Arabidopsis thaliana: one gene and its partners. The protein of the gene in region 3 interacts with the protein of the main gene of each other region in a pairwise test. Each region holds a gene or a part of one and is shown on either strand. Other genes may lie near its edges.

What was found.
Region 1: the proteins of AT1G08590 (region 3) and AT2G29360 interact in a two-hybrid assay, tested with the Arabidopsis thaliana proteins (one study listed by BioGRID).
Region 2: the proteins of AT1G08590 (region 3) and AT2G31710 interact in a two-hybrid assay, tested with the Arabidopsis thaliana proteins (one study listed by BioGRID).
Region 4: the proteins of AT1G08590 (region 3) and PSBR interact in a two-hybrid assay, tested with the Arabidopsis thaliana proteins (one study listed by BioGRID).

Annotation. Positions count from the first base shown.
Region 1 is NC_003071.7:12,601,808-12,605,839, forward strand, and holds AT2G29360 (NAD(P)-binding Rossmann-fold superfamily protein), read left to right. Parts: upstream 1-1,959; 5' UTR 1,960-2,041; coding exon 2,042-2,133; intron 2,134-2,335; coding exon 2,336-2,543; intron 2,544-2,627; coding exon 2,628-2,844; intron 2,845-2,923; coding exon 2,924-3,030; intron 3,031-3,122; coding exon 3,123-3,314; 3' UTR 3,315-3,492; downstream 3,493-4,032. Other genes in the region: SAG13 (senescence-associated gene 13), read left to right, coding at 22-128, 227-415. UniProt on the Arabidopsis thaliana protein: Oxidoreductase active on cyclic ketones, but not on tropinone or nortropinone.
Region 2 is NC_003071.7:13,481,240-13,484,856, reverse strand, and holds AT2G31710 (Vacuolar ATPase assembly integral membrane protein VMA21-like domain-containing protein), read left to right. Parts: upstream 1-1,663; 5' UTR 1,664-1,824; intron 1,825-1,957; 5' UTR 1,958-1,961; coding exon 1,962-2,058; intron 2,059-2,579; coding exon 2,580-2,800; 3' UTR 2,801-3,099; downstream 3,100-3,617. Other genes in the region: AT2G31700 (uncharacterized protein), read right to left, coding at 3,289-3,476.
Region 3 is NC_003070.9:2,716,942-2,722,845, reverse strand, and holds AT1G08590 (Leucine-rich receptor-like protein kinase family protein), read right to left. Parts: upstream 4,309-5,904; 5' UTR 3,988-4,308; coding exon 898-3,987; 3' UTR 566-897; downstream 1-565.
Region 4 is NC_003070.9:29,734,221-29,737,513, forward strand, and holds PSBR (photosystem II subunit R), read left to right. Parts: upstream 1-1,731; 5' UTR 1,732-1,864; coding exon 1,865-2,024; intron 2,025-2,115; coding exon 2,116-2,174; intron 2,175-2,260; coding exon 2,261-2,316; intron 2,317-2,413; coding exon 2,414-2,561; 3' UTR 2,562-2,789; downstream 2,790-3,293. Other genes in the region: RECA1 (recA DNA recombination family protein), read right to left, coding at 2,864-2,986, 3,109-3,181, 3,289-3,293.

The DNA of each region.
Region 1 (4,032 bases), on a different chromosome or scaffold from region 3:
ACATATATTAACTCGTTTTAGGAGCCATGAATCAGCTGGCTAGAAACTTAGCTTGCGAATGGGCGAGCGACAACATAAGGACGAACTCTGTTTGTCCTTGGTATATCACAACTCCTTTAAGTAACGATGTAAGGCCAAAGTTTATATTTCTCCTTCGTACTATGAAAAACAAAAAAAATACGTAAATATGACTTCGGGCTTTAATTTATGTGTGAAAATCTCTTAGTTTTTCGATGAAGAGTTTAAGAAAGAAGCGGTGCGTACGACACCAATGGGGCGTGTTGGAGAAGCAAATGAAGTCTCACCGCTTGTGGCATTTCTTTGTCTTCCTTCAGCTTCTTATATTACTGGTCAGACCATTTGCGTTGACGGCGGTGCCACTGTTAACGGTTTTTCCTTCAAGACTATGCCATAAAACACATATGCATGTGTTTGGATCATATTTTCAATAATTTAAACTTACGGGTTATATACATCGTCAATATGTAATAAATGTAATTTAGATGTGTCCACATGTTCTGTTTCTAAGAGATTCTTAGATATTTATGCTTGCGTGGTGAACAAGAGTTCACTCTCCGGATGGACCGCATCCATAATCTATGAATTTGGGAATTATATTACCAATTTGACGGCAGACTAGTTGGCCAAACTTAACTCTTGGTTCTTTCCGGTTATATATGTTTGCAGTGTCTAATATTTCTCAATAAAACTTTCAAAGATGACGACAAAAAGTGTCTTTCTATGATTCTCTCCACATGCGTATAATACTATTCGTCACACATCGTGACTTAAAAACTTGTCGACTAGTATATAAGTGTATGGAAATTCTCCACTTTTGAACTAACTTTTCGTGTGAGTTAGGCCCACACTTAGTTAATTCAAGACTTACCTCTTCCTTCCATGCCTTTGGTTAGCACCGGTGGGTTGTGTTATTGGCATGCTTGGTTGGGACACATAATGGATATTTTCAGTTTTCTAAACTAACATCAAGCGCAAACTGGTATAATTCTAGGGCTTCAGTCAAGAGTAATCCTTCCATTTCTTATGAGATAGTTGTAAAGGTTTCATCAAACGAAACTTGTTTCACACCCAAGAAATGAAACCAAAATTAATTACATGAGACGAAACAAAAATAAATCCAGAATAAACTACTATTATGAATAACTTTTTTGATTATTTAAACAGATCTGTTTGATTGAATCCAAACCTGTTATGTTATTTATTTTTGTTTTTATGAATACCAAAAAGTTTTGGCTCAGAGCCCGAATATCCTCGGCCCGAAACCATTATGTAATATTACTTACTAGATTTTCATTAACTTTAAAAAGATTCATCATAATATATAGCTAAACCCCTTTTGTTTTAAATTGGAAGACGCATCATAAGTTACGTCATTAACTCATCATGATCACTTTCCCAATTAAATATGTTAACCTAAACTAATTCAGTCTTATCATTACTTTGAGATCTCTAATTTGTCTCAGCCACAAAGTCATTAATTACGATATATATCATTCCACAACTTCTTTGAAGATTCTCTTAACCTCGTATCATTTATTCTAACCCATTTTCCCATTATCATTTGTCATCAAACTAGAAGTCAAGAACAGAAACATCCAGAACAATGGCTAAAGTAGAACAGAGCAGATGGATTCTTCAAGGCATGACCGCTCTTGTCACCGGCGGAACGAAAGACATTGGGTTTGTCTTCCATCATCACTTTCCAAGTCATCTTTCTTGCGTTCCAAGCAACCAAAGAAAATAAACCCAACTTTGCTTACACATTTATATTCTTGATGAATCTCTCACCTATGCAACTAAAATTCAGGAAACCTACATTGCTCTCAAACAATGAACATGTCTCGATCTCATGTAGTTGGGCCTAACCCTTAATCGAGGCCCATTTGTTTGATTAACCTAACAAATACATGAAAAGGCCTTTCTTACACTGTCATTATCATTCATTCATTATGGATTTTTCTCTACCAGACATTCAGATCTCCAAGAAAAGATCTTTGGGTTCTGTGGTTCATAATCAGAAATGGCTAAGACAGGGGAAAGCTTGAGAGACAAACCTAGATGGAGTCTTGTAGGCATGACCGCTCTTGTCACCGGTGGCTCAAAAGGCATCGGGTCAGTTCCAGTTCTCCTACATTACCTACTTTCTTACTAGTTCAATATTGAATCTGAGCTCTTATTTCAATTATAGATTTAAATGGATCTTTTTTTTTTAACAACAAAGATTTATATGGATCTTATGATTGTACTTCGATGTTTAACCGACCTATCCTGGAAAATAGATAAGCTTGGTAATGTAAGTGTGTTCAATTAATAGAGAAGCTGTGGTTGAGGAACTAGCTACGTTAGGGGCAAGAATCCACACATGTGCCAGAGACGAAACTCAGCTTCAAGAAAGCTTACGTAAGTGGCAAGCAAAAGGGTTTCAGGTTACCACTTCTGTCTGCGACGTTTCTTCTCGTGATAAACGAGAGAAGCTCATGGAAACCGTTTCCACTATCTTCGAAGGAAAACTCAACATACTTGTAAGTACATATCTAAGCTTTGATCCATATAGGAAACGATTATGTTGTGTTTTCTTAAGTTTTCGGTTTGGATCTATATTTAAGGTCAACAATGTGGGAACGTGTATAGTCAAACCGACCTTACAACATACAGCCGAAGATTTCTCATTTACAATGGCAACGAATCTCGAGTCAGCTTTTCATCTCTCGCAGCTCGCGCATCCTTTGTTGAAAGCTTCTGGTTCAGGGAGCATCGTGCTCATCTCCTCCGTATCTGGAGTTGTACATGTCAATGGTGCATCCATATATGGAGTATCTAAAGGTAAATCTATACGTATGTATATTCAAACGATTAATGATGCATCACGTTCTGATTTTTACGAAATGTAAGTGTATTTTAGGAGCTATGAATCAGCTAGGAAGAAACTTAGCGTGCGAGTGGGCAAGTGACAACATAAGGACTAACTCTGTGTGTCCATGGTTCATAGAAACTCCTTTAGTTACCGAAGTAAGTAAGGCAACAAATATGAAAGTTCTAAGCTATATACATTGTTACTTCTCAATTTTAATTTTAATTAAGTAAAATTGAAAATCTCTCAGAGTCTTAGTAATGAGGAGTTTAGAAAAGAAGTGGAGAGTAGACCACCAATGGGACGTGTTGGAGAAGTAAATGAAGTATCATCGCTTGTGGCATTTCTTTGTCTTCCTGCAGCTTCTTATATTACAGGTCAAACCATTTGTGTTGATGGAGGTTTCACTGTTAATGGTTTCTCTTTCAAGCCTCTGCCTTAAGACGTCGATTGTTTTCATTTTACGTTATTTTTTTAACATTTACAATTTGTTTAGATATGTAAACATAAACACAATTACACAAACAAACAAAAAAAATTGGCGTTTGGAATGTAATCCAACTCTCCACAATATATGCATGCTTTGTGTTTTAACCGATCAAGTATACTAATTTTTTTTTAATTATAGTATAATTTGTTACTACGAAGCCACCAACGTTCTTACATTCTCAAGACATTGATAAGTTATAACCTGCGGTCCTAAATCACCCACCAAAGGGGAGAGATGAATTGATAAATTAAGACGAGATGTGTTGAATGTTGATAGAGCTAGCTGCCTATCTCTCCATACATGCCTTCTAAGGCTTCCTCACAAACCATAAGTAATTTGGTCGTTTTGACGCTAGATGTTTGTTTGTTGTCCCATATATCAAAGTCAGGTGCTCACATTTTTATTTGTTGTATCTCAATATGAAAATGATTGTATAGAAAATGAAGAAACGAAGGCTAAGTGTGCCTTTTTTATTATTTAAATAGTTTGTATATGACTTCAAAATATATCCAAACACAGATACTTTGGAATTTATAATGACAGTTGACATCTAAAAAAACCTGTAAATTGGAAGGTTTAAGCATATGTCTAATTATTATTTATCCTTTTCGTTTTTTATATTGTACATTCATTTTTTACCACTCTCAAATATGAACTTTGTATTTAGTTC
Region 2 (3,617 bases), on a different chromosome or scaffold from region 3:
TTTATGAGTTATCTAAATATTAGTTCTATTAGGATTAGGATTAGGATTGTTTAAGAGATCTCTATATAAGGAGATACCAACATGTGGTATAACTTATGAGTTGAGAGTTTAAGTTTTGAGTAAATTTCTTAAACTAATAAAGAGAGTTATTCTTAAATCTTTGTGTTCTTGATCATCTCAAACTATATTCGAAGATGGCTTTTTTGGATTTTTGTCCTTTTTATCTAGGTGTTTTTTTTGGGTCTTTTAGCTCAATATACTGAGTGTTAGTGTTAACATTACGAGTTTGTTTTAGATTGTGCTGATTTTCATCCCTTATATAGTTCCTTTTTGTTTGAACGGATGATATTTGTTTTTGGCAAGTTTTCTTTCCCACTTGTAAGATCGGAACAAACCAGTCAATGACATAACGAAAGTCATATAAACTCGTAAGATCGGAAGTCGGAACACACCAATTATATATATAACGAAAGAATGTAGTAAACAGACAGTGACATGAATATATCTCACATAATCAATTCAGAAATAATATATAACTTTGACCCAATTGGTCCTCTAGGTAGACTGCAGTGACGTACCTATGAGCCACGATAAGAAGCCAAGCCATGTTCCTCTGCTGAGCTCTCTGAAGAATACTCAACTAGCTTTTTCCGTAGCTCAATATGTTCATGGCGAAGTTGTGCAAGAGGCAAATAGGAGGAGGCTCACTGGTCTCCGTCACAGAGCTGGACATCCATCTCCGGTTGTAACTAGAGATTCCAACCAAAACAGTTGTGCTATGTGACTAATCTCTGTTTATTGTAGACTCTTGCTCTATTGTCGTGGCATGCAAGTTTTTCATACTAAATAATCCTAGCGTAAAACATAGAAACTAGTTTGAGTGTTGGTTTCCCCGGACATAACTCCATCAAGACATGGTCTGCCGTATGATAGTGCATTCCTAACATGGATGGTAATTGGAGAAGAAATTCACACAATCCAGTCCAGGAATCACCTCACCAAAAAAGTTAGCAGACTCTTCTCTAGAAACTTTCCGCATCAAACAAAACAATTGTTTGGGAGTACTTTATGCTTCATGCCAAATATCCACTTTAAGAAAAAATGAATCAGATAACACAAACAACGAAGAAAGTAGACCAAAGGAAAAAATAATTGTTACCTTGTCAAAGAAAAGAACATACCCTTGTACCACATAATGTGCAAGATCAGATGCATTCAAGGAGCTAGAGGGATTTCCGCATATTCATGATATGCAACCTAACGAGCCTCCCCTGAGTTAACCATTGACTCACTCGGCCCCTTAGACATTGTTTGAAGCTCTTCTTCAACATAAGGTGGCCAAACTAAAGATGAAGACTTAGTCACAAGAGGCAAATACTGAAAAGGTGACATAAGATCTTGCCCTCTTCTTCTCCATTGCTTATTATTGCCTTCCCTATTTTCTTGAAAAATATTTAAAACGCAGGATAAAAAAAAGTCTGCAAACAAATCGACATTAGCTTGAAGAGAAAGAAACTCATTTTATTTGTTTCCCAAAGTCAAACAAGAGAACACGTTCATTTACTCTGCCAGGTAGTGGAAAACAACGTGTAGTCGGTATGCTCTGGTTAGAAAACGGCACGTAGTTTCTTCGAACTTGAACCGAATAAATATACCGGCTTATGCCGGATTGAAATGTGGTTTTAGTATATCTTTCTGGTTTAATAATGGCTTCCTTGTGATTTTGATTGACAAGGGAAACTCTGTAGAGAAAAGAAAAAATCTCGACTTCGCAAATTGCGAGAGACATTGAGTCCAAGACCGAGTTAACTCGCCAGATTCAATGTAAAGTTTTACTTTTGTCGCCTAATTTGTGTTATTTAGGTTATTCTGTTGAAAACCCTATATATAGATTCGTGTATTCTGTTTTCCACATCTTGCATCTTCGTTGATTCGTGGTTTAACAATTTGGATGCAGAACCATGGCTGGGGTTATGCAGAAGTTCCTTATTGCATCAATGTTTATGTGGATTCTTCCTATTGCAATATTATATGGATTCAACAATGATTTGCTTCCTGGTAAGGCTAAAATTTCCAGGTTTGACTTATGTATGAGGACATCTGTGTCATTGCTCTAATTGTATTGATGGTTCTAACTTTGAGTTTTGCTTAATCGTGTAAACTCTGTAGTTGAAGTTTTAGTGGAACTTGGTTTAGTAGAATAGCTGGTTGTTGGGATCTGATGGCAGATTAGAGAAATTCTGATTGTAACTTTTTAGAAACTGCAAACTTCTTTGATTAGAACTTAGTTTGTAGGTATCATAGAAACTAGTTGGAGCTGGAATGCTACAAGAGGTTATTCTATGGTTGTAACCTTACTTCTTGTAACAAAGGCAGTTTAGTCTTTGACGCGTAGTTCATGTAATGAAGTTTGATCATCTACACATGTGATAGCCTGTTAGTCGGTTACTGTACTTTTGGCATAATGTCTCTCTTTCTCTCTCAGGCTCACGTAGCTTGTCTGTTGTAGTTTCCCAGCTTTAGTTTCTAACAGTAAATGCTGTAGAAATTGACCGTGTTGCTCTGTTAAATCTCGACAGGGTCAACAACGTTGTCTCCACATTCTCTGACACTACTGAGTGGATTTCTTGCCGTGGTATCAGTCAATGTAGTTATTGTGTTTTACATCTGTCTGGCCCTGAAAGAACCTGCGGATAAACACAAGCCAGACGCTTCGTTTGTTGCAGAGGCTAAAGACAGTGTTAAGAAATTGACATCAGGAGTCACAAATACTGACCCTGCGCTGAAGAAACAAGAGTGAGAGCTTGCCACATCCCATTTTTGTTAAACAAGGAACAGTGTCGAGATTGCATCAGAAGGAGCAGAGCTCAGGTTCTTGCAATGTATTGTTTGGTTGCTAGATCATTCTGTGTTGTGAGTTTTGGGTTAGTTGAGCAGAAAAACTTTGACATGTTCATGTTGGACAGAGAAGATAGCTAATGTTGTAGGACAAAATTTCACAAAAACCATAAACAGCTGTGTCCATAATTGTTTAATTTTAAGCAATTTGATCTGTTTTTCTCACACTTCTCTTCCGCATTCTCTTGACATTTGTTCGTTTCTTAGAGTGTTTAAGTTAGATAAAGAAAACGAATATTGAATTATACAATCAGTGGCAAAAATGACACTTCTTTGGCTTGTGCTCTTCATCAGTTTTGGTTAGCAGCTTGATCATTACGATCAAAGCACTTATCTGCCTCTCATACTCTTAGGAGTTGATAGCTTTCAACAACAAAGCTGATTTACAGTCTAGAACGTACGCCACAAAGAAGTACAAATATGTTTAAGATAGGCCTGGGCATAATACCCGGAACCGAATACCCGAACTGAAAAACCCGAAAAATAACCAAACCGAACCCGAACCCGACTTTTAGAATTATCCGAATGGGTTCTCCACTTCACTACCCGAAAAAACCCGAACCGAACCCGAACCGAATCTAATATCCGTGGGTACCCGAATACAAATGTAAAGTTAAAAATATTAGTTATATATATATATATATTTGTAATACCTCAAACACCCAAAATTAAAATTATAAATCCGAATATACTAGATTTTTTAGTAATTTATATGCATT
Region 3 (5,904 bases):
GAAAAAGAATTAGAATATAATTAAAATTTATGTTTAATTTTGCAATTTTGATTTGTATTTTATTAGTTATTTTCTAAAGTTATATTTTTTTTAGGATTGTTGTCACTGAAAATTTTAATATGTTTAACCAGCCTAGGGTTATTTTTTCTCTGTTGGCATATGTAGTTTTACCATTTTTTATAAAATTTTATGATAACAAAAAGAAAAAAAAAAGAAGAAGAAGGTAACTTGACCATTTGCTGTATATTTAATTATCTTTTGTCCCCAAAAAAATTTATATAACCATTTGGTATATATAGCAAACTCATATTTAGCATGAAAAACCAATAATTGTATTCACTCTATTTTGAGTATATCAGAGATTATTGCCAAAGACTGATTCTCATAATTACAAAATCTCGTTTTTGGATATTTGACTTTGTCATATATAGACTATAGTTGATGTAAGCAATTGCGAATCAAAAATTTTAACCGGAAATGGAAACAAATTCAGAATAGAAGAAATTAATCAAGAACATATACAATATATTTAACTTATATTTCGTTCATAAAAATTCATTTATAGAAAAAAATCAAATTTTTTTATTTATAATTATTGTATCATAAAAGATAATATTTCTCTGTGAATTGAAAGATTAATATTCCATTAAAACAAAACTAATTAAAATCTTTATTTATTATTTTTTTAGCCTCTGGTAACTACAATTTGCTGGATCAGCCATCAACAAGGGGCCTATTACAATTTTGAATCATGTCATTTGGTTCAATGGGCTTTAGTGCACCCATCAGATTTGAAAACATGGGTTTTTGATTCAGCCCAAAGTTAACTTGTTAGCCCAATGTTAAAATTAGCCCCAGCTGATGAAATGACAAAACTACCCTTATCGCCTCCGTCATCTAAATCAGCCCTACCACTGGCGAGTTTCTGAAAATCGGCAAATCCCCGGCGACTTGGCAAACACTTTTCCGGCGTGGCTTCGCCTCCGCGAGCATTGTGATGACGTCTCTAATCGATGGTCTATCCTTCGGTAGCTTCGCGGTGCAGAGAAGAGCGATTCGCAGTGCCAGGAGCATCTCTTCGATCACGTGTTTACAATCTCCGGCGATGCTCGCGTCGATCACTTCTTCCAAGCTCTCGTTCTTCTTCACCTTCCTCCGAATCCACTCAACCACGTCAATCGAATCCTCAAACGAAGGATCTATCGGCATTTTCCCAGTCACCAATTCCAGAAGCACAACGCCTAGACTGTATATATCACTCTTTTCGTCAATCTTCAGTGTGTATCCGTACTCCGGCGCTATATACCCGTAAGATCCAGCCACCATAGAAACGGTCTCGTTCTTATGAAGCATCATCTTCGCCAATCCGAAATCTGCTATCCTCGCTTCAAGGTTTGAATCGAGGAGGATGTTATTAGACTTGATGTCTCTGTGAATGATCGGAGGATAGCAATCGTTGTGCAAGTAATTGAGACCTTGAACGACTCCGACGGCGACATTGTATCGTGAGAGCCAATCTCTTAGTAAGAATTTCTCATCTTTGGAATGCAAAGCAGTTCCTAGGTTTCCATTGGGCATGTACTCGTATACCATCATCACTTCTCTCTCGTTGTGAACGTAACCTAGAATCTTCACAATGTTTCTATGTCGTAGACCACCAAGTAGGTTCACTTCTCTGAGTATGTCGTCCTCTTCATCTTCTTCTTGATGATGATCTTCGATATCATTTTGTGGTGATGGTGATCTCCACAGTTTTTTCACAGCTACAGTGAGTAATGGCCGTCTCATGACTTCTGCTTTGTAAACAATCCCTATGGCTCCCATTCCAATGATGTTTGATTCTTTGATATGTGATAAGATGTCTCCTGCAGTGAAGCACAGTCTCTGGAAAGCCACGAGTCTCCATGGCCATTCCTCCCGAGGTTTCTTGCAGAATATATACTCTCTAGCAAAGTTGCTGTAAAGATCCCATCTTGTGTATATCCATCTCCCTGCCAAGAACATCATCCCCATAGCCACGATGACTGAAGTTCCAACAATGAACCCGAAGACTGCGTGATTCACGTGAATTCTCCCTGGATTTCGGCCTTTTGCTGACAAAGCTAGGCTCTTAGAGCAAGGTGGTAGAACTCCACCGCATAAGCCATTGTTTCCCACGAGGTCTTTTGGGTCTATGGCTGCAAACAGCATGTTTGAAGGAATGGGTCCGTCGAGTTTGTTGAATGACACGTTTAACATCTCCAGTGTTGGAGAAGCTCCCAAGTCCGCTGGTATATTCCCCGTCAAAGAGTTGTTTGAGAGATCAAGAACAGCTAACATGTGCATCCCGGCTAATGCCTTAGGGATTTCTCCAACCAATTGGTTGCTCTTGAGATTTAGACTCACAAGTTTTTCAAAAGAAGCGATCCTTTCTGGGATTCCACCTGAGAAATGGTTGAAGGAAAGATCGAGGACAGACAAAGATGGACGATCTTGAATCTGGTTAGGAATTTTTCCGGCAAAGTTGTTATGTGAGGCAATGAAGGTTTGAAGATTAGGACTTGAGAAAATGGAGGAAGATAGGGATGAGAGATGATTAAATGATATGTCTATAAATGAGAGTGATGTGGATAAGGCTATATCATCTGGAATTTTACCGGTGAGGTTGTTTTTTGCGAGCTCTAGATGCTGAAGCATTGGTAAGTCACCTGAACCAGCTGGTATAGATCCGGAAATGTGATTTTTCTGGATTCGAACACGAACTAAAGTCGGACATGAGAAGATTTCCTCCGGAATCTGACCTGAGAATGAGTTGTTGAAGAGAATGAGCTTTGTGAGGTTTCTGGAATAGCACAATCCTGATGGTATATCTCCTGAAAGCTTGTTTGATGAGACGTCTAACCACTTCAATGGGGAATTTTTGCCGAGATGCACCGGTAATGAACCCATGAGAGAGTTCTGCCACAGCTCAAGAACCTCAAGGTTTGGTAATTCAGCAATTTTTGACGGAATGATTCCCGTGAGTTGATTCCTCATCAAATTTAGAAGCTGCAGATTCTTCAACTCACCTACTTCCATAGGTATTTCTCCTGTGATCTGGTTATCAGACAGATCAAGAAACACAAGAGAAGTCATACCACCAAGTTCTCGAGGAAGTTTCCCTGTGAGACGGTTCTGGTAGAGATAAACTGTTGTAAGTTGTTTCAGCTGCCCCAAAGAAGATGGAATCTGGCCTGTAAGGTTTCCAACAGCCAAATCAAGGTACTGAAGGCGCGTCAATTTCCCAAACTCTTCTGGAATCTCACCCATGAAGCCATTGTAACCAAGAATAATGGTCTCCAAGGAAGAGAGCTCACCAATCACCTTCGGTACCTTTCCACCAAAGTTGTTACCCGAAAGACCGAGAAACTTCAGATTCTTGAGATTCTTGAAAGAAGAAGGCACTGAGCCCTCGAAGTAACCTCCTCGAAAGTCCAAAACCTCAAGTGTAGTTGCGTTGCCAAGATCTTCAGGTAGAAACCCCGAAAAATTGTTGCTTGAGGCATTGACGTGTGTAAGACCAGTTGCCATTCCTAGACCATAAGGGAAGGTTCCAAAGAAGCTGTTCACACTCACATCAATGACCTTCAAAGACGTGAGATTAGAAAGAGATTTAGGAAGAGAAGACTCAAATGCGTTATTGCTGAGATCAAGGGCTTGCAGAGAAGGGAAGCTCTGAATCTGATCTGACACGTTTCCGCTGAGATTCATGTTGGAGAGAAGAAGCTTAGCCACATAGCCATTTGCATCACAGTGAACTCCTGTCCAATGACAATGAACCAACTCAGAAAATGTTGTGGCATTCTCAGGTCTCTTCCAATCTTGGAGATTATTTGAAGGATCAAAAAGGTCTGACTTGAAGGCCAACAAGATCTCTTGTTCGGAGTTTTGAAATGTTTCAGAAGAAACAAAAGGGAAAAGAGCGAAACCAATGTAATAGAAGAGGAAGAAAAGTCGAGGGATCGCCATTTTTCTCCTCTATTTCTTCACTTTTTGGCTAGTTTTATGGCATTTTTGTGCAACTGAGATTGAAGGTCCCCAAGCGAAGTTGATAATAAGAGAGTGGAAACCAAAAGCTGAAAAACAATGATTAGTCAGAATCTAATTTTATTTAATCTCTCTCAATTATTTTATCATGATTGTGTTTCTTTTTCGTTCGGTGGAATAATATGCGAGTTCCATTGGCGTCATAACAATTTGTATGATAGCAAGTAGTTCGCTTTGTTTCTGCATCTGTGACATTACATAGTAGAAAAAGTGATACAATTTCCTTGATGTTTTCATCTATCTTCGTGTGTTAAATTGTGAATTGTGTTTGAGAAAACGAAATTAGATTATAAGTTTGTTTCATATGCATACCCAAATGCTAAATTGTGAATAAAGTCGAACCGAAAATTTTGAGGAGCACTAATTCCATAACCATATCCTGAAGGATTATCTTGCTGATCTGTGCAATATCAAACAACTAAGCGGTGAGAAAGAAGATTAAAATAATGATAATGGGATATATAATATGAAGAAATCGTGGGTTTCTGAACAGCTAGCTAAATCATAAAACACTGAGTGACTTGTAAAGCTTTGTCCTCATTAGAGATTTGTGGGACAGTGAAACATGGGCAGAGAATGTGTCTCACTTACTGTCCAATATAACTATTTTCTATTCAAAGATGATGGCTAATTAGGCAAGATCAAAGTCTTTTAAGAAAACTACCATTTTAGTTCTACCTCACCAATGATTTGACACAAACAATGTTTTTTTACAAATGATTTAACTTCACTTAAATATGAGTAACTAAAGAACGCAAAGTTTTTATTGGTTATAAGGTTAGTTATATCATCCTTGGCGGTCGAGCTAGGTTGAGTTTCCGCATGTCTTCATTAGTCGGGAGAATGTTTTGTTTCGAATGGCGTCATTAAAAAAACACACATGAAAGATGATGGTCGTGAGAGAATCTTCCCACGTTGTTCCAACATAATTAAAATTAGGAAATAAGAAAGTTCATAACTCCATTGCCAAGTTGCAAGTAGCTAGGAACGTCCCATGACACCTACGTAGAGACTAGAGAGATATACATACATCAAATATATCTACTTACACATGCATTGAAAAAAAAAAATACAAATACATTAATTAAATTATTGCATTCATGTAGACATATATGTTTTTCTAGATCTTATAAACACAGATTTTAATGTTTTTCAAAATACGATTATCAGAATTTTTTTTTCTCTGTATATTAGTTTGAGTTGAGAGATTTAAGGCCATACATATGATATATGCATAAAGTTTGCATATTAATGCATTTTTAGACAAGGAGCTTCAATAAACTATGCATATGACATCAAGACGTAACTGAATATGTAGCCCTAAGTCCGTAACCGAATTTGTTTATATTCGTGTGGTTGCAACTTGTGAGTAAATATGCATGCTGATTGCGTGAAGAACAAAGTAGCATTAAGTGCTCTCACGATATCAAAATAAAGTTTAGAACCATCGAAAAGGGCCATCTATCATTTTTATTTTGTTCTTAAAATCTAAAACATATATATTCGATCGGATATACCCATTAAATGAATGAATCATGTTCACATTAGAAGAATCACCATAATTGATCCCAAAAACTATATGAAACATATTCTCGTGAGTGTATAGACTTTTTGGAGATCGATATCTTAATTAATACATCTAGCACAACTCTATATATTCTTGCGGATTAACATCTAAATTTTACGTACCTCGAGCATATATATCCATTATCGACTATCGAGTATCGACTATCGGTTCGTCCAACACATTTAATTGTTGTAGGTTTGCAAGGTAGATATGGACAGTACCTCTAATTAAAGTTCTTTGTCCTTTCAAATTTATCCTCTATTATCATATTC
Region 4 (3,293 bases), about 27 Mb from region 3:
GATTGGAGAGGGGGACACTGTAAGATTAAAGCTTGAGAAACCCTAAAAGAGAAAGACAAACTTTCAAAAAGTTCTTCGAGGAGAGAGAGACGACAAAGTTTCGCGTATATAGAGAGAGAGAAGAAGACAACAAGATATAATCCATTGAGAAGAAGGCAACAGTATAATTAAGTCGTTAATCATTATTAATTAGCATTGTTTTTGGCTAATTAATTAGCGTTATTAGTCGTTGTTAAATGACCTTACTTACTTACTGGAGTAGTCTAATTTTTTCTGGGTCCCACTTTACTTCCAAGAGTGTGAAATCACCTGCGGCTGGTCCTACTATACCATAAAGTCAAAACCGGACCGGTTCAGTTCTGTAAATGTTGAATTCTAAGCAATGGATTTAAGTATTTAACCGAACCGACTCTTTAAAAAATTGCTGTTCGACAAGTTTATACAATTATTACTGTTCAATTCTTCATTTGGCATTATATGATATATCGATTTAGTTGTGACTTTTGAGCATGTGTTTTTTTTTCTGATTCTAAAGTTGTTTTGGAAAAGATTGTTTGTTTTCATTTGACATTATATAGTTAAGCATGTTCTGTTATCTGTATACAAATCATCGTGCTTGTGGTTTTGGGATTATGTGAAGTAATACAGCAAAGATGCGTAATTTATTTTAAGTATCAAAATTATTCTCTTATCCACATTGTATATAGTCAAAATATATATTACAGACTGAATTAAACAGACTTAATAATAGGCAAAATGTACATATATTTGCATTAGAAGATTTCAATATATGTGTTTTTTTTCTTTCAGAAAGGTCATTTGACTCATAAGTTATAACAGCTAGCTTATATAGTCCTTAGTCCTTACTCATGAAAAAAGAATAATTTGTTTTGTTATTTGGGGTCTACTACTAACATTAGAAGCAGACGTGGGATTTAATTTGATTTATTAAAATTGTGGTGGGTAATATTTAGACTGAATCTATGAAATCGATAGCTTGTAACCTTACTCACTCTCAATTTAATTATATTAGTTTTGTTTCTCATCACGACTGAGACGTGTAACGAATATATCGACTGATCAACCACTAGTTATTAATTTAAACGACTTTAATTTGTATTAATATCATATCTTAATGACTTGAGTAGAAGAATAATAGAATAAGCATAGAAAACATTGACCAAATCCTTGTGTACGATACAATCATGTATTATATACAGATTTATTTGTTACTAGTAAATATGATTAGAACTTGCATTAGACAATGGTCAAGTTTGTTGATGTTTCCAGTTATGGAGAAGCCATAATTTGAGTAGCATTAGACATTGATTAATCAAGAAAAGAAAAATAATATCATCTACTAGTGTCAACACTACAGACGCAGCGAGCGAGCAATTATAGACGCAGTATCTAAACGCTGATCGGTGTACGAATTTGCGGTTCATTTCAACGCTTGGCAAAATTCACAACGTGGAAGACATTGCGAGTTTACGACAAACTAGTGGGGTTGTTTTAAGTAAACTAAAACTTGTAGGGGTTTTCTCAAAAATAAAATAAAATAACTTGTAGGGGTCACAAATGAAAAATAAAAAGTATTGAATATCCTACGTGGCATTTGTTTTTTTCATCTCCTACGTGGCATTACGAAATGAAGAAAAAACTGATCTGACGGATCTGCTTAACCAGTTGAAGATAACGTTAGTAAGGAAGATATCCAGACCAAAGCCACACAACATTAGCCACGTGTCATAACCACAATCACTTACCGGATCTTCTCTCCCTCGTATTTGAAGCCACACAACATGAACATTAGGGTGAGAAGAGATCGAGAGAAGAATAGTTTGATCATCTTGTGAGAAAAATAATGGCTGCTTCAGTGATGCTATCTTCGGTGACATTGAAACCAGCTGGTTTCACGGTGGAGAAGACGGCGGCTAGAGGATTACCGTCGCTCACAAGAGCTCGTCCCTCCTTCAAAATTGTCGCCAGTGGCGTCAAGAAGATCAAGACCGACAAGCCCTTCGGTTCGTTTATATTATTATTACACAGACTTTTACAACATATACACGTTACCGTTCATGTATAGCTTATTTCCGTTAATCGATGTGTGTGTAGGAATTAACGGCAGCATGGACTTGAGGGACGGCGTCGACGCCTCCGGCAGAAAGGGCAAGGTTTGTAGTAACTGAAAACGGTGTTGTTTAATATCCTTTTTAATAATAATTTGGTGGGTTCTCTAAACAATGACGTATAATCGCAGGGATACGGTGTTTACAAGTACGTCGACAAGTATGGAGCTAACGTCGATGGATACAGGTGAATTAGAATTATCATCCTCCATAACATTTTTTGTAGATAAGAAAGAACCATGGATTACGTAGTAGATGATTGATTTTTAATGTTTGGGTTGCAGTCCTATTTACAACGAGAACGAGTGGTCAGCGAGTGGTGACGTGTACAAGGGAGGAGTCACCGGATTGGCAATTTGGGCGGTAACTCTCGCCGGAATTCTTGCCGGAGGTGCTCTTCTTGTGTACAACACAAGTGCTTTGGCTCAGTAAATCTTAAAGTTGTTAGCGCATGTGTAATCATGTTTCTATAAATGTTTCTGTGTTGTTCTCTTTCTCTCTAATGTTGTAAAACTCAGACATACTTTGAATTTATAAGACTTCTAGTGTTTGTATATATATTCATCTTCCTATCCTTTATGATTTCCATGCACAAGAATGGTTTCGGATTTAAGACTGAACCATATGAGTGTTTTTTTTTAATTGATGAAACTTGAAACAAGAGGTGAACATGATGAGAGAAAATCAAGTGTTGTACATCCATAGATCCGAAAGTCTCAAGCTTAAGTGTTATGTCATTGGAAATCGTCAAGCGAGTCTTCTTCTTCTTCTTCGCGATGTGAAGCCGAGGAAGAGCTGCTGCTCATCAAAGGAGTTGATCGATGAACTTCTCCATCTAACATCAACAATCTCACTTTCTGCAACACCATTGCCAACGTAAGGAGGACGAATTGATGCAAAAAAAATTACGTTCTTGTTAAAAGGATGGATTTTTGCAATCTTCAGAGATGGGTTAAGATTAAGAATAGAGGAAGCAAACCTTCTCAATTTCGTCTTGAAGAGCAGGGTTTTCCCTTAAGTGCTGCAGTGCTTTCTCTCTTCCTTGCCCGAGCCTGAAAACAGAGACCCAAAACACAACCATATCTCATACTCTGTACCCACTTCTATAACATAATCAAAAGTCTTCAGGAATTATGAGTTTTCAATGTAGAATCCAAACCTTTG